Arabidopsis thaliana: one gene and its partners. The protein of the gene in region 2 interacts with the protein of the main gene of each other region in a pairwise test. Each region holds a gene or a part of one and is shown on either strand. Other genes may lie near its edges.

What was found. Proteins that work in one complex are often made in the same cells at the same time.
Region 1: the proteins of ARF9 (region 2) and AT5G12980 interact in a two-hybrid assay, tested with the Arabidopsis thaliana proteins (one large-scale study listed by BioGRID).
Region 3: the proteins of ARF9 (region 2) and ATAUX2-11 interact in a two-hybrid assay, tested with the Arabidopsis thaliana proteins (one large-scale study listed by BioGRID).

What each region holds. Positions count from the first base shown.
Region 1 is NC_003076.8:4,103,470-4,111,632, reverse strand, and holds AT5G12980 (Cell differentiation, Rcd1-like protein), read left to right. Parts: upstream 1-3,400; 5' UTR 3,401-3,493; coding exon 3,494-3,661; intron 3,662-4,102; coding exon 4,103-4,174; intron 4,175-4,349; coding exon 4,350-4,439; intron 4,440-4,561; coding exon 4,562-4,604; intron 4,605-4,837; coding exon 4,838-4,944; intron 4,945-5,168; coding exon 5,169-5,264; intron 5,265-5,477; coding exon 5,478-5,668; intron 5,669-5,751; coding exon 5,752-5,821; intron 5,822-5,972; coding exon 5,973-6,071; 3' UTR 6,072-6,250; downstream 6,251-8,163. Other genes in the region: GSL12 (glucan synthase-like 12), read left to right, coding at 1-437, 517-567, 655-840, 940-1,188; CLE40 (CLAVATA3/ESR-RELATED 40), read left to right, coding at 1,865-1,958, 2,058-2,104, 2,298-2,399; AT5G12970 (Calcium-dependent lipid-binding (CaLB domain) plant phosphoribosyltransferase family protein), read right to left, coding at 6,332-8,163.
Region 2 is NC_003075.7:12,447,666-12,457,444, reverse strand, and holds ARF9 (auxin response factor 9), read right to left. Parts: upstream 6,303-9,779; 5' UTR 5,854-6,302; coding exon 5,838-5,853; intron 5,747-5,837; coding exon 5,640-5,746; intron 5,560-5,639; coding exon 5,461-5,559; intron 5,285-5,460; coding exon 5,228-5,284; intron 5,138-5,227; coding exon 4,982-5,137; intron 4,899-4,981; coding exon 4,814-4,898; intron 4,729-4,813; coding exon 4,638-4,728; intron 4,549-4,637; coding exon 4,384-4,548; intron 4,302-4,383; coding exon 4,188-4,301; intron 4,109-4,187; coding exon 4,036-4,108; intron 3,953-4,035; coding exon 3,805-3,952; intron 3,726-3,804; coding exon 3,256-3,725; intron 3,125-3,255; coding exon 2,937-3,124; intron 2,856-2,936; coding exon 2,708-2,855; 3' UTR 2,076-2,707; downstream 1-2,075. Other genes in the region: CSLG3 (cellulose synthase like G3), read right to left, coding at 313-954.
Region 3 is NC_003076.8:17,546,852-17,553,628, forward strand, and holds ATAUX2-11 (AUX/IAA transcriptional regulator family protein), read left to right. Parts: upstream 1-3,327; 5' UTR 3,328-3,613; coding exon 3,614-3,792; intron 3,793-3,884; coding exon 3,885-4,187; intron 4,188-4,276; coding exon 4,277-4,355; 3' UTR 4,356-4,864; downstream 4,865-6,777. Other genes in the region: AT5G43690 (P-loop containing nucleoside triphosphate hydrolases superfamily protein), read left to right, coding at 1-417; AT5G43695 (uncharacterized protein), read left to right, coding at 1,398-1,437, 1,519-1,700; AT5G43710 (Glycosyl hydrolase family 47 protein), read right to left, coding at 5,401-5,688, 5,924-6,128, 6,216-6,286, 6,376-6,511, 6,603-6,682. UniProt on the Arabidopsis thaliana protein: Aux/IAA proteins are short-lived transcriptional factors that function as repressors of early auxin response genes at low auxin concentrations.

The DNA of each region.
Region 1 (8,163 bases), on a different chromosome or scaffold from region 2:
AATTTGCTGATAATTACAGACTGTATTCCCGGAGCCATTTTGTGAAGGGACTTGAAATGATGCTGCTACTCGTTGTGTATCAAATATTTGGTAGTGCTTACAGAGGCGTCCTTGCATATCTTTTGATCACCATATCTATGTGGTTCATGGTCGGGACCTGGCTTTTTGCTCCCTTCCTCTTCAATCCTTCTGGTTTTGAATGGCAGAAGATTGTTGATGATTGGACTGATTGGAATAAATGGATAAACAACATCGGGGGTATTGGTGTTCCGGCAGAAAAAAGTTGGGAATCGTGGTGGGAGGAAGAGCAAGAACATCTCCGGTATTCCGGAAAACGTGGTATAGTTGTTGAGATTTTGCTAGCACTGCGGTTCTTTATCTATCAATATGGGCTTGTTTATCATCTCACTATAACAGAGAAGACTAAAAACTTTCTGGTATGTAACATTTCTATTAGCTCTTGATGTTGGTATTTTCTTATCCAATCACTAAATCTAAAATCCCTTGTCAACTCAGGTTTATGGAGTATCATGGCTGGTGATTTTCTTGATATTGTTTGTGATGAAGGTGGGTTTACTTGATACATCAATCTCTTTTTAATTCCCCAGAACGTCATGGTCAATAACCAAGTTTTTTGTTGTTTGTTTGTCTCAGACTGTTTCGGTTGGAAGGCGGAGATTCAGCGCGAGTTTTCAGCTGATGTTCCGGTTGATAAAGGGGCTGATATTCATGACGTTTATCGCAATTATTGTGATATTGATCACACTGGCTCACATGACGATACAAGACATAATTGTGTGTATCCTTGCCTTTATGCCCACAGGTTGGGGGATGCTCTTGGTAAGTAAAAAAAAAAGCTTTTCACTGGAGTCCTATTAAAATGGAAATGTTGTGCGTGTGTGGATAAAAACAAGACTAACACTTGGTGTGTGTTTGCAGATTGCGCAAGCGTGTAAGCCGGTGGTTCATAGAGCAGGATTCTGGGGATCAGTGAGGACCCTAGCTCGTGGATACGAGATAGTAATGGGACTGTTGCTGTTCACGCCAGTGGCGTTCTTGGCATGGTTTCCATTTGTGTCAGAGTTCCAAACGCGTATGCTCTTTAATCAAGCTTTCAGTAGAGGTCTTCAGATCTCTCGTATCCTTGGAGGTCATCGTAAGGATCGCTCTTCTCGAAACAAGGAATGATTCATCTCTTCATTGTAATGACAGGGAAGGGATCTTAATTTATCCCTTTTTTATCTTCATGGATGATTAGGGTTAATGTAATTTAGTTTTCAATATATCGCTTAGGTAAAAACATTGTAGTATTCATCTATAAATTAGACGTTATCTATCATTTAATGACTGTTTAATTATTTAGTTGAAGACCTCCATTGGTCCATGTCGAGGAAGATAAGGAACTTACTAACAACTTTTGCTTGGCCTATAAGATACAGCGACAACAAAGCTTTCAAAAATTCCCTAGTTACCAACTGGGTTCATTAATGGGCCGATAAGGAAAGCCCACGATCTTCTAAGAAGGATTAGCCCTAGTTTCCTCTGCTTCGTTGAAAGACAACTTAAAAAATGGCGGGAAGTTGTGACAATGTTTGGTTCGACAAATAAGCGGAGACGTGGCGGCGATACGTGGCACCACGACATTTGTACGAGAATGATAATTTGTCTTGGTTCGAGCCAGCCTGTAAACGGTAATCTGTGTCCGTACAGCTTAAATCTCATCCCAAAAAGAACAACCAAAATGACGGATTTGGCCCCAACAAAGCTGTAAAACGAGGTTAAAACCCGGAACTTTCACCTTATTAGACGACGACACACCTCTCGTCACTCTTGTCGAGACTCTTACCACAAAGAGGTTTTTGAAATGGCGGCGATGAAATACAAAGGAAGCGTTTTTATCATATTAGTCATCCTTCTTCTTTCGTCCTCACTACTTGCTCACTCTTCTTCTACAAAATGTAAGTGTCATGTGATATGTTTAATAATATTCTCATCTTTATTCATCGTTTGGGTTCAAAACATGATGAATCAATCCTCTTTGTTCTTTTTGTTTCTAGCCTTCTTTTGGTTAGGAGAAACACAAGATACGAAAGCCATGAAAAAGGTAAGAAAATCTCTTCCTAGAAACACAACGCGACTGTTTTGAAGGAAATGAACAATTCGTTTCTTATTTTTACAATAAAAAGTATGAAACTTTTTGTTTTCTAGCTAGCTCTTTGCATTTGATATTCGTTTGTATTTTTCTATATGATTTTGATGCAAAGATGATTAATTTTTTGTTTTGGTACTGAAAACAGGAGAAGAAGATTGATGGAGGAACAGCTAATGAAGTTGAAGAAAGACAAGTTCCAACTGGATCCGACCCTCTTCATCATAAACACATTCCTTTTACTCCATAGATTCATTCCTTATATCTTTTTTCTGTATCTTCTGTTTCCCATTGTTGACATATTAGTTTGTAATGCTTTTCACATTCTAGTTTTGAGTTTTGTTTATCCGAATGTTAAATTTCTATTTCAGGTTGAAAATGATTAACTTCGTTATTTACTATAGAGTATTTCAATTACTTCAGCCAAGATTTTGTGGATGCTTTGGAAAGATGCCAAAGCGTAACAACTTCCAATTCAATTTTTGTGATGAGTTAGTTCTCAAGATGAAGTCGGAAGCATTCGTGACATCAATTGTATATATAAATTTTGGGTTTAGAGTGTTTTAAGTTGGTATCAAATCACAATTAATTATTCTGTGACATTTGTTTCTAGAAGAAACTTGGGAAAACCGATCTTTTGGATGTGAAGTGGTAGATTGGTTGTCTAAGGTTTTGTACTAGAATTTTGTCTGATTTTAGTTTTAAAACGGTAAGATATATTTTCTTTATAAGGACAATATGGTGTATCTAGTTCTAATTTTGTGACTGTATATAGATTTGTTGATGCTAGATTGTTTGTCAATAAAATTATTGCATTGACCTTAATTAGTTTCGGTAGCCAATCGACCACTACTTGTTGAGTTTTGGAGCCACATATTCCCCTTGCATGTTACACCGAGTGACACGACAAATTCATGTTAAACAAAAATAAAAGGATATACGGTTAAACTATTTATTGTACCGCAATAAATAAAGATATTAAATCAGTTTATTTTGGCGCCACAAACAAAGTAGATATAGTGTGTGTTTTTTTGGCTTGTTGATATCAAAATACCTATGTTTTTTTATTGTCTTCTACATTAGCTAAGTCATAATGTGAATCATGTAAATCTTATAATCTATCTTTCAGAATCTTAAGTTGTGTGAGGCACGGGAGAGTCACGTGAGAGTTTTTTTTTTTTTTTCACAAGTCACGTGAGATTTAGATTTGAACAAATCCCGTAACGGAGCAAGCGAGGCACGTGACATACACGCCCCCCTTAGGTCCTATAAATACATCTCCTCCTTTCACTGTCACAAGTAGCGATTCTCTCTGCGGCGCGTGTAAACGGTGACGGGGCTCTAATGGCTAATCTTCCTCCTCCGCTCTCCATGAAATCTGTCGCCCTCTCAGGAGCTTCTTCTCCTTCTTCTTCCTCCAACAACGATCGGAAGCTATCATCGGCGGAGCAGTTAATTCTCGATCTCAGCAATCCCGAACTCAGAGAAAATGCACTTCACGAGTTGTCTAAGGTCATCTCTCTCTCACCGAATTCTCTTACTCGCGAATTTTTGATCGTTTGGGTTTTCGTTTTCTGCGTTCTATTGAATGGAATTTCGAATGTATTTGGTTGTTTAGTCCGGTGAATCGTAGACATGCTTTTAGATTACCGACTCCTAATTCTTCCTTGCCGCAAATTTTGAGGGAATTTGTACGATTATTGTTGAGATTGTAAACCTGCATGAATAGGGGATGAAATTAAATAATCGAAATAGTTCAACACTGATTAAGGCGTTGATCTCGATTGGTGAGCAATTTAAGTTGGTATGAGGATTCTTCACTGAAGTTAAACGTCTGGACAATTAAAAAATCAAATGGTTTTGATGTTTACTGTACTCATTGCTTTTGATTTCATACATTAAGAAGTTCTTCTCACTGAAATTCATGTCTAATCCCGTGTTTCATTATTTCAGAAGAGAGAGATCTTTCAAGATTTGGCTCCGCTTTTATGGCATTCTGTTGGTACCATTCCTGCTCTTCTACAGGTACCCTCTCCTCCATGTTATTATATGGCACTTGTTCCTTTATTCTTCAGGGGAATTTATTTATTGATTTCTGGCTTCTCTATATACTGTTATAGTTTTAGCATTTTAACTTTTGAGATTTGATGTACATTGTATTGGTTAAGATCTAGTCATTTTCTTTCTTTCCTCTTTTCAGGAGATTATCGCAGTTTACCCTGCCCTATCTCCTCCAACCATGACTCCTGCTCAATCTAACAGGGTGTGCAATGCACTTGCTCTTCTTCAGGTGCATAAAATATTGTCAGTTTCCTCTTTCTTTTTTAGGGAGACTTACAAACGTTTATATATGTATGTTCAATTTGGAAGACTCTATTTTTTATTGATTCGACTCTTTTTTCGTACATCCAGTGTGTTGCTTCTCATACTGATACGAGAATGTTGTTCCTAAAAGGTACAGTCCTGTGCCCGAACAATTCTTCCTTAGTTCTCATTCAAATAATTTCGGTGTTTGCTCTGTGACTAAAGTTATAGAGATAGATTGCATTAGTTGAATACCCAACCCGTCTACCAAAACTAGTTTTAAGAGCCACCTTGTTGGTCTCTTTCTGATTGATCTCATTTATTAGATGTGTGTTTGGCTATAATATGCTTAAAGTTTAAAGTCTGTTGCTTTTCAAAATACAGCCCATCTGCCATTGTACCTGTATGCTTTCTTGAATACATCAAGCAAATCAAGACCGTTTGAGTACCTGCGGCTGACTAGCTTGGGGGTTATTGGTGCACTTGTTAAGGTATGTATTGATATTTGAGTTTTGTTTCCTCGTCTAGTTATTTAGTATGTTTATGCCAAAAAGGCAGGAACACTTCTTTTACATGCTAACAACTGTTTGGCTGTAAATAAATATTTTGGTGATTTGAGAAACAACGATTTTAGCATGCTAAGACCTTTGAGTAGATCCTGTTAAGACATCATTAGTGATATTGGTCTTGCAACATCGTTCATTTGGTTTGGTAGGTTGATGATACTGAAGTGATCAGATTCCTTCTTCAAACTGAGATTGTCCCATTGTGCCTCCGGACAATGGAGAATGGCAGCGAGTTATCAAAGACTGTAAGTTTGTCTATCTTCAGATGCTTCTCTTTAGATTCACATGCTTGAAAAATGTATATCAAGTTTCCTATCATTTATACAGCCAGTTGCAAATATCTGAAATCTTTGCTTCATACAAAGAACTTGTATAAGTTTTCTTCTGCAATTGATGTTTCTGATTGGTTTTGGTCATGTACAGTTCATCTGATTGATTTATTTGAACGGTTATGTCAGGTTGCTACTTTCATTGTTCAGAAAGTTTTGCTGGACGATGTTGGGCTTGAGTACATGTGCACGACAGCGGAGAGATTCTTTGCTCTGGGTCGGGTTTTGGGAAATATGGTTACTTCACTTGCAGAAGGACCGTCCGCTAGGCTACTAAAGCACATCATACGCTGCTATCTTCGCTTGACAGATAACCCCAGGTGCAATAATTATCCATTTTCCTTCATTTGAAAACCATATTATACACTCGTGCTTACACAATACAGTTACTGATGACATTCAGAGCATGCGATGCACTTGGAAGTTGCCTTCCAGATCTTCTGAGGGATGCTACTTTCAGTGGTTGTCTCTATGTAAGTGTCATATCTCTTGATAGCATCATAACCAATTATTAGTGATTCTGATACCAAATTGTTATCTATCAGTTTATTGTTATCACGACTCAATTCTTTTGATACTTGAGACTTGACTGTTTTTAGCTAATCGTCTCACTTAATTTGGCAGGATGACCCACCTGCAATGCAATGGCTGCAGCAACTGCTCCACAACGTTAACGTTGGCGGGAGAGCACCTCAAGGGTTGGCTCATATGTTTGTGAATTAAATCGAACCCTTATAGTCTGGGCAGAAACTGTTATTCATTGGACAAAAAAAGTTAGTTGGAAACAGAATTACAGATGAGAAACAGAAACCCAACCAAAGATTTTGAGTTTGATGGATATATGTATTTGGATTTCTTGACCGTCTTATGATGTTGCAATCAATATAACTAAAATTCCATTGAAAAGACCGAATTAAGCATTAAACCCAAAGTTTTTTTAAATCCAACAAACGTTTTACAAAAGCTGATGCAGATAAATTTATCTATAATAGACTGTCAGATCTTGCAGGTAGCCTCCTGAAGAGATTGAGCGGCACAGAGGGTAGCTTGTGCCTGAACCTTGGATGCCTCAGCACATAGATCCCAGCAAGAAGTGCAACAACCTGAAACGGCGTAACATACAACACGATAGCAGCTATGAGACAGAAAAGCACAAACAATGTGGTTGCCCTCGGGTCTCTCCAGCTCAGCAGCGATAAAAACCGCTCTCCCTGTGTTGCTAGATCGCCTATCACGGTCTGAACCCGTCCTCCTATGCTTCTGAGCCGGTCATATCGCATCCGCACAATCTCAGAGGATCGGGAAGTCGGGAAAGTATCAAACTCTTCATCAAGCTCGTCGGGGTGAACAGCGTCTGCATGGGACAACCGTGTGTCCATGTGTGGCGGGTGCCTTGGTCTCCACCGGAAATTCCAGATCCCAATCAAGAAAAGGTACAAGAAAACCGTTGGGAGGATTAATTCCGGGTAAAGAACTAAGATAATGAAAAGAACATGAATGAGAATTGTGGTTATTGGGTTTCTCCAGTTGCAGATCTGATCAAACCATTTTCCAACAGCAATGAGACCACTCAGAACATTCATGATTCTGAAGAAGTTAGCTTTACTCCTCCTCATGCTCCACATATGGGAGTCAACATCGAGCATGTACTCCACAATCTCTTTGCGAAGAGGCGGCTCTGCGCGGTTCAGCCTTGCCGAGACAATGTTCATCGCCTGGTGTCTCAGGCTGTCCAGCTGGAGAACCGATAACGGATGGATGTAATGCATTTTGGGTAGTAATGGCTGAGAATACATATGAAGCATGTTGATGAGAGATAGGCAAGTGAACCGCACAGCTAACTGTATTTCACCTGTCTTCTTGATCCCAGAAGGATGAAAGACGAGTAGCGGATATGAATGAGTGTAGATACGGTCAGCTTCAAGGGTAGAGAGCCGGATTCTCACTTTCCCGATTCTCAAGTCTTTTCCGCTTCCGCCTGGAATGTGTCCGTTGTCGAATGCTCCAAAAGTTATGACAGTGCAGGTGTCAAACACTTCCCATGTGTACTGCTCATTCCATTTAGGCGTAAAACTATCCACGATTGTTCTTGTTCTAATCCATTTCTGCCCATACTTAGCCACGCAATATGCATCTGTTGTCCCCTTCCCGTCTTTTGACTTCATTGGCATCAGCCCGTGTGCACTTATGATCCCTACTTCAAGCAGTCCGATACTCGGTTTCCATAGCTGTTTTGCGGTTGGCCTTAGGTCGCTGCTGTAGTGAGTTGATTCATCAAGAACATGGTACCCACCTTCAAGAAAGATTCTTAGATGAATTCTGCTTGCGAATTTGATCTCTTTTTGCTCTCCTTCCACCATAATATGTTTCTCCAGGTTGAACCACCTCGAGTTAAGCGGCCTATGGTCTAACCTTCTTTGGACGTTCTGCAACGGGATTGCACACCGGCCTAACGTTTCATCTTTATTCGGTGCAACCCTATCTTCCACCGCGAGAATCAAAGCTTCCTCAAAAGGCTCAGCAACAACAAACATCAGATCTTCATTCCACATCGGATTCAATGTTTTGGTCTGAGAAATACGTGTTCTCAGAGTCTGGTTTCCGAGCATTGCTTTCACGTAAACCTCAGGGAACTTGGTTTTATCATGAGGTATCAAATCTTGAGCCTCAATTACATTGACCCTGACATACCAAAGCTTTGGCGAAAGATAAACCTTTGAACGGATATGTGTCACACCCTCAGGTCCGACCGTGGCTGCATCTGAATGCCAAGCATCAGAAAAAGCTTCATCTGCTTGTGTCCCCATCCAAACAG
Region 2 (9,779 bases):
AGAACAAGATTGCCACTATCGTCGAAAAGAGATACGATAAGGTTCTGAAGTGACTTCTTCAACACAACAATCGCTCCCCATTGATTTAGCAAATAATTATTTTTTCTGTTTGTAGTTTTGTACTCATTTTATTTTTTATTTGTCATTATTAATTACTCCTTCCACGAAAAATATAAATGTTTTTTTGTCCAAATTTTTTTATTAAACATGTTATTCCCCACTATTCAACGTAACCAAAATGAATGACAATTTTAACATTCGATAAAAAAAAAAACATTCCTAATTATAAGTGATTAGTAGAATAATACGCACCTTGATATTTTCAGCTTCATCACTCCGAGAACGTAACTTTGATGAGAAATAAACTTCAGGAGACCGATCTTGAACATTATTCTTCTTGCAAAAAGGCAACCAATGCTTAGAGAACTTAGCTGCCTCCATAAGAGCAAACAAAGTCAACGACGAACCTCCATCGTCCGATACGTAGACTGAGATCTTATCGGACGGATACTCGTAAGCCATCACCGATAAGGCAGTGTTGACCACCATCATCGGAGGCTCCTTGTACGGATCAGCCGTGCATATAAACACGTCCAGTTTCGGGAAGTCCTCCGGTTCAGCTGCATATTTCTCAGGGTACTCGGTCCGGCGAACCGGTTTATACCGGAGGGAAGTTGTGGTTGCCCACATGAAGGCGAGAACAATATCGGAGAGGAGAAGGAGAGACGTGATTAGAGTTGTGTTTGCTGTGAGAAGTGAGTGTACATGGTGATACATGAGGGCTATGATGCCACACGTGTGAAATACGGCGTAGATTCTATATGGAATGGTGCGCCGGCAAGGATGACACGTGTGGAGGGTTGTGTCGCCGACCGAGTGTTTTCTGTGAGGCTCCATCGTGGTACTCTTTATTTTTAATAGAAAGACAAATTGTTTTAGAGAAACTTGGTACATAGAACAAAACTCACCATTGATATTGATATTTTATAGGCGATTTTTTTTTCCAGAGTAGACATTCTACACCTCGATTTTAGGTTGGAAAAGTAAATCACTGAATAGTGCTATAAGTTTTTAAAATAAGTAATTACATCTATGCAATTTAAATACAATGTATACTTCCGTCACTAGAATATTACTTAAAATTTAATAAGTTCAAATTTAACATATTAAAATAATTTATAACAAGTTGTTTATCAAATATATAATAAAACAAAGTTATTTATTAGTAAAATGAGTTTACTATTATTCGGTATACACACATACATATAAATTCCTGATATAGATACTGACTGTATGTATAAGTTGGTATTTGGTGAGCTTTTAATGGTACAATTAAATTTAAACTTCTCTATATATGGAAAGAAAAAAAGAAAAAAAAGAAGAGGAAAAGATAGGGATTGTGAGATCCACTGCCTTCACAAATCTCGGCAATAAATAACCTACATCATCACTTCATTATCTCGGCAGTAAATAACGTCATTAACTATGAACGGTATCGACGTATTAGTAAAGAGATTCGTATAGGTGTATTTATGTGGTACGTATATAAATATTGGACCGTCAGAAAATATAGATATTTGGACCAAGCAACCAGATATGCACGATTTTTTTTCCCCAAATGATACACTAATTAAAATTAGATTGAACTTATATGTTGGATAATCATTATCTAATCTTTCGTATGTGGGATTTAGAATAATATCCTAACATTTTCTACACACTTGTCATAATCAAAGAAATACTATATGTACATATTATAAAGACAAACTTCACAATTTATAATCTCACCAGATCAGCATGTGTTATACTATGTTGACATATTGTAGTTGTTTTGCAGCGAGAATGGTTGTACACGACATATTGGACTAATCCAAGTAATATGCATAACCCAAATGATATCTAAAGAGAAAAATAACTCTTTTTTCCTTTGCAGCATTCGATATTTTAATGCATGTGAGTGAATAGTGATATAAGGGAATGATACACTTTACAAACATAAGGGGATCCAGAAGTAGTAGCGAAAAGGTGGTCCATACTTCATACAATTACGTTTGTGAATATGGTGGCAAGAGCGGCCACATACATGTCCTCACAGACAAAACATCAATAATCTTGAATCATTGTTAAGGTTAGTGGGAAAACCTGAAATAGTTTTAGGTCTAGAGTTTTGTTTATTTAACATTTTAAATATTGATAATATATGTACCTTTGGGGATTTGACAAATACAAGAAAGCCATGTTTGAAATTTTATATATACATTAAAACTTAGATGAAAAACAAAATCAAAGAAAACACAACTACGAAAAAGAATCAGAAAACACGAGAGCCATGAGGTATAATCCCTCTTTAATCTCTTATAATCCCAGAGTCCCAAAAGTCCTTCATCAAGTTATTCACAAATCTCATTCTCTTTTTTTTTTTTTTTTTTTTTTTTTCTTTCTGTTCGTTACATATTTGTTTCTCTTACACACAAGTTCCTAGAAGAAAAAGAAACTTCCAAAAGCCTATTTTAAAAGTAGAAAACCCTCTCCCCATAAACCCCCTTTCTCCATAAGAGGCTCCAAAAAAACGAGCCATTTTTTTTGCCTCAGGGGATGTAGTTTCTTGTTTAAGCCATGCGCAACAAAACACAGACACAAACAAGATAATTCCGAAAGACAAAGCAAATAAGAAGGAGACGAAGACTGATAGAGAATAGAATAAAAATTAGTTGGAATGATTATCTGTTTTGGAAGTTGTTGTTAGTGTTGTTTCAACTTCCCTTAACAGCATCCGGAGTTGGTTCCCAGGCGTCATTTTCTTCACTTCCTCTTTCGACCATATGAATATTCTCTTCACCATGTTGCAGAACTCACTGCACCACCAAATTAAGTCAACAGATATGAGTTTTGTGTAGTGATTCTATTGACTAAGAGATAAAGAGTAAGTTACTTACGGCCATGGGTCATCACCGACAAGCATCATATCTCCCTCATCGTCTGTGAACACTATTTCCCATTGATTGCGACTCCGCAGTTCCCCTTTTATGTCAAACAGCTTCTCAATGTCATCTATGAGCTCGTTGTACCCCTTTAGCGCATTTAAATCCACAGCCCTGCCCACAGGTACGCCTTGCATCTGCACCTGTTCAGCGATAAAGAATTCAGGATCCTGTTCAGTCCCGCAAACATTATACATAATGTGTATCTGTTTTGCAACTCACAGATTACACAATGTATATACACTTCACGGTAGCCATGTAGGCATATATATACCTTGGTACGGCTTCTTGTAGAACTGCTTTGCTTGCTTTGGACCTCTTTTGGTGATCCCTCCGCAGGTTCCTGCTTTTTCTCTTCTGATACTTTTGAAATCTCTGATTTTGGGTCTGAGTGGCTGTCCATAGTCGGTTTGGATATGTTGATTGGTCGCATGGGTGCAGTTTTCTCCTCAGGAACCGCTAGGGAGGAACTCATCAGATCAATTCCAAATAATCTATAATTAGCGGTTGTCTCAGGCTTCTTCTGCTCGACTGGGGAAACCATTTGGTCGTTCAGTGTTGAGTCTTTTGCTACATTTGACACAGAGTAAGAGTTATTTAGCCAGTCAGATTTCTTAGCATCCTCATTTGCATCACGATGACATTGCTGAGGAGAACTCCACTGTGAGGTGATGCACGATTGTGCAAACTCATGGGGTTGCGTCAAAACAGAGCTCCAAAGGTTTGAAGCTGTTATGCCTACATCTAAACACAGCATGTGAGATTTAGCAAGGAAACTTAAGCTATGTACTAGCAAATCAGTGGCGGTTAGATTGTGCCTCACCAAGTGCAGATACTTCACTAACTTGACGGGGCCTTTTGTTCTTCAGCATAACTGATTTGGGAACGTTTTCTGAATTTACAAACGGTTCAATTTCCCATGGTGAAACCTTATTGGGTCTTGAAATCGATGCAGGCTCATCCCAATGAACCTACACAAACATGTAGCAAACTGATTGAGTTTTCACACTTAATAAACACTTTAAAAAACATGTAAAAGTGGAAGGAATTTTACTTCTAAGCATCGCCATTTTGAGTCTTTCCAGTGAGGGGAGCAGTCTTTCACACCAATAACCGTGCCAGAATATCTTTGTAAAGAAATAGATGTGTGAGAATAGCTTTGGGGACAAAGTGCAGGATACATAACAAAGAAAAAATTCAGACTACCTTCTTTCAGGGGAATCCTCTCCCTCAAAACGCATCTTAAATCTCATCCCTACAGAGAACTTATTGCTCATGGCTTCTAGATATTTGTTCAAGCTAATGATGAATTGGCTTGTCCTGCTCAAACCGAGAGTAATTCGATAAGCAGAATGTCGAAAAAACTCACCTCAGATATTCCCATAGAGTAATAACTGTCTACCTTGGTTTATAGTATACAATGAACATAGTTTTCGTTTGAGTAGCATGGCGTGCAGTAGCAAGCACTCCCAGATGCATACTATGACTTGATATAACGGATGAAGGCATACTGCTCTGTTGAAGATTAGCACGTCTGACTCCAACTCGCAACTCTCCGTTCTCCCCTCTGGAAAATATAATATAGCTTGGAAGTTCAAAATCTACCAATGGACCATCAAAAGAAACAAAACAAGGTAGCAGCGTGAAGTATAATACCTCAGGAATACAAAGGTGTCCCCAGCAACCAATCTCTTTGATGTAACAAAGGTGCTCCACCCTGTCGTCAATAGATGCCTCCGTGGTTGGCCTGTTTAATGAATTATCATTCATTTTATACAATTATCATGGATACATAAAGTTTGATCTGAGTTAACAAGAAATGGATTCACCACCTCTAAAAATATGCTTGAATTTCCACTGATAACCGTGCACATCTTCGGCTACTAACTCCTGGGTCGGGGTTTGCTGAGTCATATCCTAAAGGATAAGAACATAAGAAATTCATATCAAAGGCCATTTTGGTGGGAAACAAAGCACAAATAGTAAGCGTGTCCTAATACCAGCGGAGGAAGACATTCCGTGGCATGTTTCCTTAGAACAGAAAAGCCACCATGGGTGCTTGTATCAGACGCTGTCAAAACCTTGCTGAAAGAGTGAACTTTCGGCCTTTGCAACTCAGGAGGAGAGGGATCAGGACTCATAGGTTCATCAACTTCCTACAGTTTACATTTAGAGATCCACTAAACATTGAATTTAAGGAAGTTGCAACAACAAAAACAATCAAGTGATCTAATTGTGTCACTCACAGTTCCAACAGGGATCAAAGTAATCTGAGCATAGACCTCATCCGTATCTTTCTCCGCCTGACAAGAACAGAAATGAAGAAATCAAACAAGATCCAGAACTTCCACTCATATTTAGTCTAATCATTTCCAGCTTCTTCATAGATTTTCTACAATATCCATCTATATATATTGCTTTAACTAATGGACGACACATCATCAGATAAATTCGGTTTTGCTAAATGTGGAAAGTATACCTGAAGACTAACGTTCATAACATTGCAGAGAATCTTAGGAGGAAGAACAAAAAGAGGCTTCATCGTATTTAAGTCGACTTGTTGCGTTGACGCTTCGAGCTGAACCACCAAAAATAGAAATGTTTCATTAAAAAAAATCTTTCTCAAAATTTCACCGATCTAAAAGAGAAGCTGCTTACTTGTTCCATGTGACCTTGAGGAAAATAATAAACTCTTTCTTGAGCTTGAGGAACATCAACAAGAGGTCCCGCGCATAATTTCCATAACTCATCGTACAGATATTCACCTGTTTCACCACACAATGTACACCGGTTAATTTCGCCGGTAATGTCGCCGGAAAATTGAAGAAAAAAACAAAACTCCGGTCAATTTCTCACCTCCGCGATTTGCCATCAGCTGATTAAATCTTCTATCAGTCACACCAAAACACACAGTCTCTCTATCTCTCTCCGATGAAGAACCGGAAGCTGAAACAGTCGAAAATAAAAGAAGGGTGCGTAATAAAGTGAGGAATTAAATTGAAGAAGAAGGTCCCTTGGATTCCGTCTCCACGTTTTCTTGTTCTCTAATGCATGTAAGTAACGATCGAGAGAGATCTGAATCGTAACGCAACGCAATCCTTCCTGCTCTGTAACTGTAACCTCTCTAATTTCTCTCCCGTAAAACCAGCTTCTATCGTCTTCGTCTCCCAAACAAAGAAGACTAAACTCTTTTTTTTTGTCTCTCTTCGTCACTATAATCGTCAAACAACGCCGTTACAAGAAAGAATCTCTCACTCGCTTCTCTCCCGTCTTTAAGTTAACACCTCCGTTTGCTTTTATCTCCGTTTCACTCTCTCTTTTTTCAATACTTTTATTTTTAATAAATTGATTTTATATGTATGTCTAAAATTGGACACCTTTTCGTATATAATAATACGCTATACATTAATTGTATAACCAATTGTAAATTCCTTACTATACTTTCTAAGACATGTTGTTATCCAGACAGTACCAAATTTCTAGGAAATAGCTTGATTTGAAGAAAGTAGAAAGTTATTTTGAAATTAAATGTATTGTTTATAAAAAAATATATGATAGAAATGCTTAGCACAACAATAATTGTTTTCCTCAATTTTTGTTTGATTAAATAAAAAAAGAGCTAGCAAAAAAAAAAGCGTAGCTTTGCTTCTCTATTTAAACCAAAAATCAGTTTTAATTTTACAAAAAAAAAAAAAACTTTAATTTCAAATTTATTTGGTTTATGTTTTAATACACTTTGATATTTTAGTCAAAAACAAATAAATAATGGGTCTATGATAAACACCTTTATACTGTATAATATAGAAAATAATTGGTTGTTTTACACTGTACTAATTGAAAGAGACTTTGTAAGTTATAATTATAAATAGCTTTTTACTTTTTTTCTATACGTACTAAACAATTAAATGCAATTGCGTTAGTGGATGAAGGAATTAGTATTAGTTACTGGATAAATCATAAATGTGTTGGCTTTTAAGGCTGGTACGGAGCGTGAGGGCGCGTGCCGTTGTCGTTACGGTAACAAAAGTCGATCAAGAGACATTAAACAGTAACACCCGTCATCGTTAAGAGTCCGTCACTTTTACCGTTTGCTCTTATGCAGGCAACAATACTGGCTAGACTTGGATTAGAGACGAAGCAGCTTTGACCTCCTTCTTTGGATAAATTACATTTCTACCACTAAATGGTGGGACTAACATAAGCATGTGGGAAGTGTTTCCATCTCTGATTTTTGTTCTTTTCACCTTTTGCAAGAACTTTTTTCCAACTCCACATTTTACTAATTAGAAACATCAAAATTTATTTGAGTCATGATATATGTTGATCGTTGCCAAACAAATATTATCCGGAAAAATTACTTAAATACTTAGAAAAAAATGTTTTGATTAAATGTTTTTTTTTTAGAATTTTGAACATTAATATACGTGAAATCTTTTGAACCGTTAAAAAATGATCGATGATGGATAAATAAGTAGATGTTATAAATAAGCGATTAATATCACTTATAACATCAAGATTAAGTTTCCTAAAAATCTTATGATACTCAAATTGAAGGAACTCAAAAAGTATGACAAGCGACAAACGAAAAACACTAAATAAATCTATTTTACTAATTTAACCAAGATATGTAATATAATAATTTTTGTTAGTATAGTTATGTTTACCATATAAATTCAAATCCTTATAATGTAGATATACATATATGTTGGGTTAGTTATTTATTTTAGTTTTTTTATATGATAAGATTATAACTCCCAAATATTTATTTCAATACAAAATTTAACATAATAATTTTATTTCCTAAACATTTGTACCATCACTAGTAGTGTAGTGCATGGATTTTCGTATAGTAAACTAAGTGCGATCTTTAGATGATCAATAAATTTAAATTTCTGCATCAAAATCGTATATTTGCTGTAGTCATTTGGCAATGAATAATGCCAAACTTTTTAATAAATAATAAGCAAAATATAAAGATGAAAAAGCCTATACTCCATAGTCCATATATTTATATACCAATTAACTAATTACTTTATCGTTTAGTTCTAATTAATTATGTTTAGTATATTACTAATTATGACAGAAAACGTCACGTATGACGTATTTTTGACAATTTCTGTTCCCTTTAAGGATATAAATAAGCAAGATGCCTTAAAACCCACCACCACCATCTCCGGATCTTCTCTTTCTCAATTTAGACTATTTTAATCGTATTTATTTTAGTAATAAATTGGTATCTTGTCCCCCGTATATTCCCCAGAGCTTGTTCAAACGAATCTCAACTGTAATATAGAATTTTCGTGTCCACTTAGAAAGCATTCATTCCCATATATATCTCCCACATGTTTGGTCTCAAATGAGTTCAATCATTTACTGATTTTTAGTCAATTTAGTGGTACTAATTCTAAGAATCTCAATTGTTCATCTATTTTTAACCCAATAGTCAATCGGCATACCACTTCTTCAAGCCCTTATCGAATTCACTCGCTCATGTAGTCATGTGTTTTGTAGAGATTTTTAAGTAATATCTTCTTTCTTGTTTGATTTAATTGGCTAATATTTTTTTGGGGGAAACTAAAGGTATAACTATTGCAAGAACATTGACTTGATGATTATGTATGTGTGTTTTTTTCTCTAAAAACATTGACATTGACTTGGTGATTCATGAGCAAGAAGGTAATTTCGTGATTAACAAGGTAATGAATCTTCTATTAAAATAGTAGGTTACTGATTCCCTGCTTCTTGATGGCGTATTCCCTGTTTTCACCTCTGTATAAAAACATACGTCACAGAAAGTTACTCATATTTGACAGCAAAAATCTAGAAGCAATGAATATGTTCATTTAAAAAAAAAAAATATGATATGTTCAGAAAAAAACTTTCATCTTAAATTTGCTTTAGTTTGTTAGGTCATGTGTTCGATATTCTTGATTCTTGAATTTACTATTTTACATATCGAGGATTAGTGATCAGTAAACAACATTTTTTAGGTCTATACTATCAAATCCTGGCTTTGATTTAAGCTAGGTATATATCACAAGCTATAATTAATATATATATATATATATATATACACATGTTTTATACACACAGAGAGGACAATATATATGTATATATATGATACAAGAGTTAATGGTAATGTTTTTGTGGAACGTGTGTTTCAAATAAATACGAGACGTTGCGAGTTTCTCCAAATGCGTTTCTGTTGCCAACATGTCCACGAGTTTTTTCGTGATTTATCTTCTTATATATCCAAAAATTTACTTCAAACCACATTATTTAGCAACGAGTTTTGTTATTATTATTATCATTCAAAAATCTCGGAAAATCTTTGTATAGTTCGAAATCTAAGAAATGGGTTATAAATGTCCTATAAGTGGCTACGGAAAAGGAATGATAAGTAGGCTTTTACGTACATCTACACATAAAACCCACAGAGGTCGATAGTGGGAAAGATAATTAGGGTTTAAACATTTATAACTTGGCTTTTAGAGTTCTATTATAAATCATAAAATGGTACAAAAAGGAGAGAAACTTCCAATCAATGTAAGGATTTGTGTGAATGATTATCTTTACACTGCTCATTATTGAAATGGATGGAAATAGAGTTTTGTATAAATAGCTTTATTGCTTGACACCTGTCTGTTAACATAATGGACTATACTTTATACTATGTATATGCTCGTGTGTGTGTTTATTTAACTTATATTTCTAATCAAAGAGTCCCTTAACCCCCTCTTAAGAGTCAAGGGTCACATTTGGAAATTATTAAATAATTAAAATGGTACTTAATAGTAG
Region 3 (6,777 bases), on a different chromosome or scaffold from region 2:
ATGTTCGAGTCATTCTGTGGCGGAGTTAGCTTCTATGGTCCGTTTTGGGACCATGCTCTAAGCTATTGGAGAGGCAGCTTGGAAAACCCCAAGCATGTCCTTTTCATGAGGTACGAGGAAATGAAAACAGAGCCGTGTGTCCAGGTCAAGAGGCTTGCCGAGTTTTTGGGGTTTCCTTTCACTAAGGAAGAAGAAGATAGTGGTTCGATTAGCAAACTCTTGGAACTATGCTCTCTTGGTAATCTGAGCGGTTTGGAGGTTAACAAAACCGGAAAAACATGGATGAACTATGACTACAAAAGCTATTTCCGCAAAGGAGAAGTTGGTGACTGGAAGAATCATCTAACTCCCGAAATGGAGAACAAAATCGACATGATCATCGAGGAGAAATTAAAAGGTTCGGACTTGAAGTTCTAGATTCGTGTTCTTTGTGGTTTGTAGCTTTTCACATATGCATTATAATAAAACTACCTTCTGTTTCTTATGTTCCTTTGATTTATGAGTATTGACTGTCTTTCAATAAAATAATGCATAGTGATTGGCCCAAAAATCAAAAGTGTGAATTTGACACAACTCCATGTATATTCATAATACAACTATTTCAAGATATGATGATTGCCCGAGTAAATACCGATACACCTAACCGTAAAGGCACAATAAAATGTGTGGTATAATAGATTATTACTACTAACAAAAAAGTTATAGTATAACTTTATTATTTTAACAGCTCATTTATTTTACATAATTCGTTTTTTGTTTATTCATTTTTTTATGATTATAAGTAACAAAAATATGCACTAAATGAATGTTTAAATTTATTTTAACATAAAATAAATAGTGTTGCTTATATGGATGCTTAGATGGACACCCTAAATGGAGAGAGGACTCTCCTATTATATATATACAGGTTAAACATTATGCAATGAAACCAAAGTTTTTCATTTCAAATCGAACCCAAAGTCTTGCCACAATTCAAATAAAAACTACAATATAGAATATGGATTGATGATTGTTATTTGCTTCCATATTTCAAAACTATATGATCTATCTCTTGTAACTCTTAAACTGTTTGTTTTCTAGTTTGCACTCTAGAATTGGTCTTATATTGTTAGTTTGTTACCGACTTTTTGTAGAATATCAGTTATACTAGTCTCATGTATATTTACAAAATTTTGTAATAAATTCATATAATTTTACTTAGTCAATAACTGGACTTTTTCCTTGTAATTTGATAAGTATTTATTTGGCTGGTAACAAAAACAAAATAATTAGTAATTTACAGTAGATCCCTTTATATAACTATTGTATCTAGAAATAGTTGTACTTCTACGTATTGGGGAGTACCCCGAGTTTTGTGTAACAACTTCCGCTATATATTGTAAAGTAAAAAAATACCAATGAAGTTTGCTTTCCTTATCTGCCTAATTGTTACATCAGGTAAAATTTATATTTCACGTGTGAAGCAAATAACAAAAATCTATATACAAAATTTGTTATTTATAGTTTCTGATTTTGTAGTGATGAGTATCGTTACTGTTCGAAATGTTGAGGCGAAAAGGTTATTACTTGAAGAAATTCCTCAGTTGCATCATGAAGGTTCGCCGCAGGTAGTGAAATTACTGGATGATGACTGCATGGATGGATGTCATATGAAATGTATTCCTAACAACAGAATTACTCCTTGTTTATGTCTATGTTAATTTTCCGTTTTCTTTTTTGAATAAGATATGTTTTCACTAATAATAAAACTTTGTTGCATAGTCCATACAAAAAATATTGAACATTATGTAAAAAAATTCAAAAAAGATAGTTAAGAACAAATTCAACATGGAAGAGGTGATGCCTAATTTTTCATCAAACCAGCCACCATTAGAATAATCACTAGGATGATATAAAAGCATATATATTGCCCACCAACTATAACTTATGAAGCTGTATATGTATGATCATGTGTGTAGCTGTTTTATATCATTTATTGGATCCAACGGTGGATCAATCCAACATAGAGTCCAAAAGAACCGGAACCGGAGAGAATGCCATGAACCGGTTTGTTGTTAGATACGTCTCATTTTCAGTATTTGATTTCTAGCTAAATAAGCTAGTCATGAACTTAAATCTCTAACGCCAACCATGCAATGAAACCAACTTTTCACATTTCAAATCGAACCCAAAGTCTTGTCGTCTACCGTGTAACAATAAATACCAAACTCACTACCTTTAAAATTCTCCTTTTTGAGACCAATTCGGATAAAACCAACAATCTCCTAAATGTTCACTTCCCAAATGTCGTAATCCATAAATCATACTCAAGAAGAAGGATTTAGACTATTAGGAGGTCATGTGCCAAAAATAACATAATACTAATGATAAATTAATCACAAATATTTAAGCACCATTTAGAATCATCAATCACAGTGGATTAGTGTTGGATTTGATTCTATTGAAATCCATGACTGAATAATACCCCTTAATGTGTAACGATTCAAAACTTTTTCTACAGAAAAAAAAAATTTGAAATCGAGACTAAACAAACTTAGGATAAAAAAATAGTCTTGAACATAGGTTTTCAAATTTGGTCCTCCAAAGAGATTAGGTTAGGTTTGGTTTACATTGGTTCACTAAAGCATGACAAGTACATAAACTGCCTTGCTGTAGTAACATGAAAACAAAGTCAGAGAGAAATCAAAACCCAAAACGATAAGACCCCATAGATAATGAACTGTCTAAAGACAAAACCTTTTGGCAAGATTTCTTGTCAGTTTGTTCCTGGATTCATATATATAAAGATCATTAGAAGTTTCATAGAGACAGAGAGACAAATTAAGTTGGGACTTTCATGAAAACTAGTAAAGAAAAACAAATAGTATAATTTTAACTCAAATACTATTTGTTTTTCTTTACTAATACTCTCGAAAGTCCCAACTCAAATACTAGTTGGACACACATGAAGCTACCAATCAGACCCAATGAAACTCAAAATCTTATCCTCCAAACACAGAAAAAAAGACTATGAATATGTTTGACTTTAGACAGCTAGAGTTTCAACTCAATTGACTAGGATGATCTAATCCTGATATCACATGAACCACAAATAGATGAAAGAGTAAGTTCTTGGCTTTAAGAGAGAGAGAGAGAGGTGACAAATGCATATGGCAGACCACAGTACATGTAATGCTTACCCTACAATAACTCAATGCTTGAACAAAAGAGAAAGGTTTTTTATATTCTGCACATGAGTGTACCATACTCTACCCCACTTCCTTGAATTAGGGCTACAGAGAAATGAATCTAGACCGTCCTCTAAAATCAAAGAAAGTATCTTTCTTTGTGTTGAAGATGAAAGTGTCCCACAAATGTCCCCAAAATGATGGGACACACTTTGCCTCAAAGTTGCTGCTACTGTTTACTACCCGACAGCTTTAGCTTTTGCCTTTGTCCTTAAATCAAGTTAATCCCATTTTTTCTAAATTACCAAAAAAGTGACTTTTCAATTCCTATAAAACAATCTTCTTCACAAAGCCTCTTATCTCATCAACAAGTCTTTCTCTCTCTCTAGACAACCACAAGAACACAAAACACACAAAAACAAAGAGGTTCTTTCTTTGAAGAAGAAATGGAAAAAGTTGATGTTTATGATGAGCTTGTTAACCTAAAGGCAACAGAGCTGAGATTGGGATTACCAGGGACAGAAGAAACTGTTTCTTGTGGAAAAAGCAACAAAAGAGTTTTACCTGAAGCTACTGAGAAAGAGATTGAATCCACTGGAAAAACTGAAACCGCTTCTCCTCCAAAGTAAGTGTTTGAATCAAATACAACTTCTCTGAAAATGTGTGTTGAGTTGTGAATCTGATCTAATCTAATCTATGCTATTTCTTGTTTTATAGGGCTCAGATTGTTGGATGGCCACCAGTTAGATCTTACAGAAAGAACAATGTTCAGACAAAGAAGAGTGAATCTGAAGGTCAAGGAAACTATGTGAAAGTAAGTATGGATGGTGCTCCATATCTAAGGAAGATAGATCTAACGATGTATAAACAATATCCAGAGTTGATGAAATCACTTGAAAACATGTTTAAATTCTCTGTGGGAGAATATTTTGAGAGAGAAGGATATAAAGGCTCAGACTTTGTACCTACTTATGAAGACAAAGATGGTGATTGGATGCTTGTTGGTGATGTTCCTTGGGAGTAAGTACAAATTTTCATTTATCTCTCAAATTAGTTAACTTATGACACAATCTTGTTTATGTATTTATGGTGTTTTGTTGTTATTGCAGGATGTTTGTTTCGTCTTGTAAGAGGCTAAGGATCATGAAAGGATCTGAAGTTAAAGGTTTAGGTTGTGGTGGTCTTTAACAAACCTAATTGAGAGATAAAGATCAAAGAGAAAGATTCAAAAACAGAGTTTTTTGTTCTGTTTCTTGAAACAGAGTAAATATAGCTCTGAAACTGCTCGGGTTCTTGGGGAGAGATGTTTCATACAATCATACTTTGTGAATGTTTACCTCATCGGTAAAAAGAGAGATGCTTAAAATGGTCTTAAGCATAAAAGTGTGAGAAAGATCTAAATCTAAACTTTAGCTGTAACTCTGTCTCCATTAAAGAGAAAGGTTTTGTGGTATTAGAAAGATCTAATCTGAAGATTATCTTTGTGTTTTTCACTTTTTATAATGTTCTTATCGAACAACTTTGATGTTTTTGATGTAATTACCCATTTTTCTGTTCTGTTTCTCTTCAAATTAAGATCTGTCTTTACAAAACTGTAACACAGAACATTAAACCTAACTTGTAGATGAACACAACGAAGACAAATCATTAAACCAAAGCTGCTTTATGGTAAAAATAATAATCCCAGCTTCTAAACATATATCATTGGATTCTAGTTTCTTTAAACTTAGATTATACATGTTTAGTCACCAAGATTAAAGAAATAAGAAATCTAATCGAGCAGTGAGAATATTTTTGGGGCTTTGGAAATGTTTATATTATCTTTTGTTGTTACCAACTGTGACTTTGGTCCCCCATACCTTAAACAAGTAAATCTACCCAACTGTGCTAATTTGTCTCCACTATCACTTATAATAATCTATGAACCTTGGAACTAGAGTAATATTTTAAAATGGTATAGATAGGTTCATTGAATTTAGGTTTTTCCTTTGTGCACCAACAATTTTTACATTCATACCTAATGTTCTTGATGCAAGATGATTATTAAGTCAAGAATTTTACCAAATACTTAAACCTAGTTGTCTCGATGATGATGATGATGATTATGATGAGACAACAATCGATCAACAAAAGAAGGATTCAAGATTCTTGATGAGATTGGAAAACTGAATCTATATTTCTAACAAAAGTTTTTGTAATCTTCTTCTGTGGAACATATATATAAATGAGAGATTTAAGAAGAGTATGATCTTTGATCATCAGTTTCTGACTCTAACAAGGTTAGCTCTTGACCTGTTTGGTCGTTGCTACTACCACCAGAGATTGTCATTATTGGTTCAGACTGAGAAGTAAATCCTTCTTCTTCCTGTGGTCTCTTCTCCACTGTTTGATCCGAGATTAACACAATTGAACTGCTTGTAACTACCGGTTTAGGTTGATTAACATCTTCACGATCTGTCTTCTCCGGTAGAACATACGAAAAACCATATTTCTGAGCATGTGTTAGTCCTGGACATAAACCCTACAAAAACCCCAAAACAAAAGAAACTGACTTTGATGAAAGAAAGAAATATTTTTATTTCTGGTACTGGCCTTTATCAAACCGGTAACTGGAAAAGATTCGTGGTAAGGAATCCGAAAGAAAGAAAGAAACATTTTTATTTCTGGTACTGACCTTTATCAAACCGGTAACTGGAAAAGATTCGTGGTAAGGAATCCGAAAGAAAGAAAGAAACATTTTTATTTCTGGTACTGACCTTTATCAAACCGGTAACTGGAAAAGATTCGTGGTAAGGATAATCGTTACTGTGATCATCGTTACTACTGTCTTCTCCAAGGACTTCTTGTTCTAGTTTTGTGGAATTGCTTGGACAGTATCCACCAAAGTAAGAGCAATGTTCCCGAGCTAGAGATATTTGTGGTGTTATTGGTAAGAGATGACCCTCAGTACTGAAGATGTACCTGAAGATTAAGTAAAATTATCAAGATTAGTGAATTGTTGTGGTGTTTGTGAAAATCAAGAGGTTAATGTGGAGGAGATATTTATACTTGTAAGGGCCATTGTCTACGAGGTTATCCGAGTCAACAGCTAAGTCAAAGAGTAGCCATAAGTACTTCACCTGAAATATTTTTGAAACAAAAACAAGTCAAGGCTTTAAGGTAAGCAAGTAAATGCATATTGAGAAACAGAGCTTTTCATGTATTTTACCGTTTCTGCGAGGAAGAAGCTCTCCATGTGATCTTCTTGTTTATGCAGTTCTACATCTGTGATGTGACAATAACCGCAAGGACATTTTGCCCCGTATTGCAAACTAGCCACAAAGTCACGTCCTGCATCAAGATACCTGTCGACGAGTAATTTGCATTGTGCAATTCAGTAGTGTGATCATCTTTGGATGAAGAATTGAAAAAAATATAACTAATTAATTTGGTGACCTGGGATCTCTGGTAGCTTTGTACAACCAGTATGTACTCTCGATTAATTCCGGCCTTAAGGGATAACTCTTTTGCCCATACTGTAAGGAAAATGAAGAATAGATATGAAGCTGTAACATCATAGTGCCATCAGACGTAATAAGTGACAAGTGATCACAGAGACACTTAAAATTAA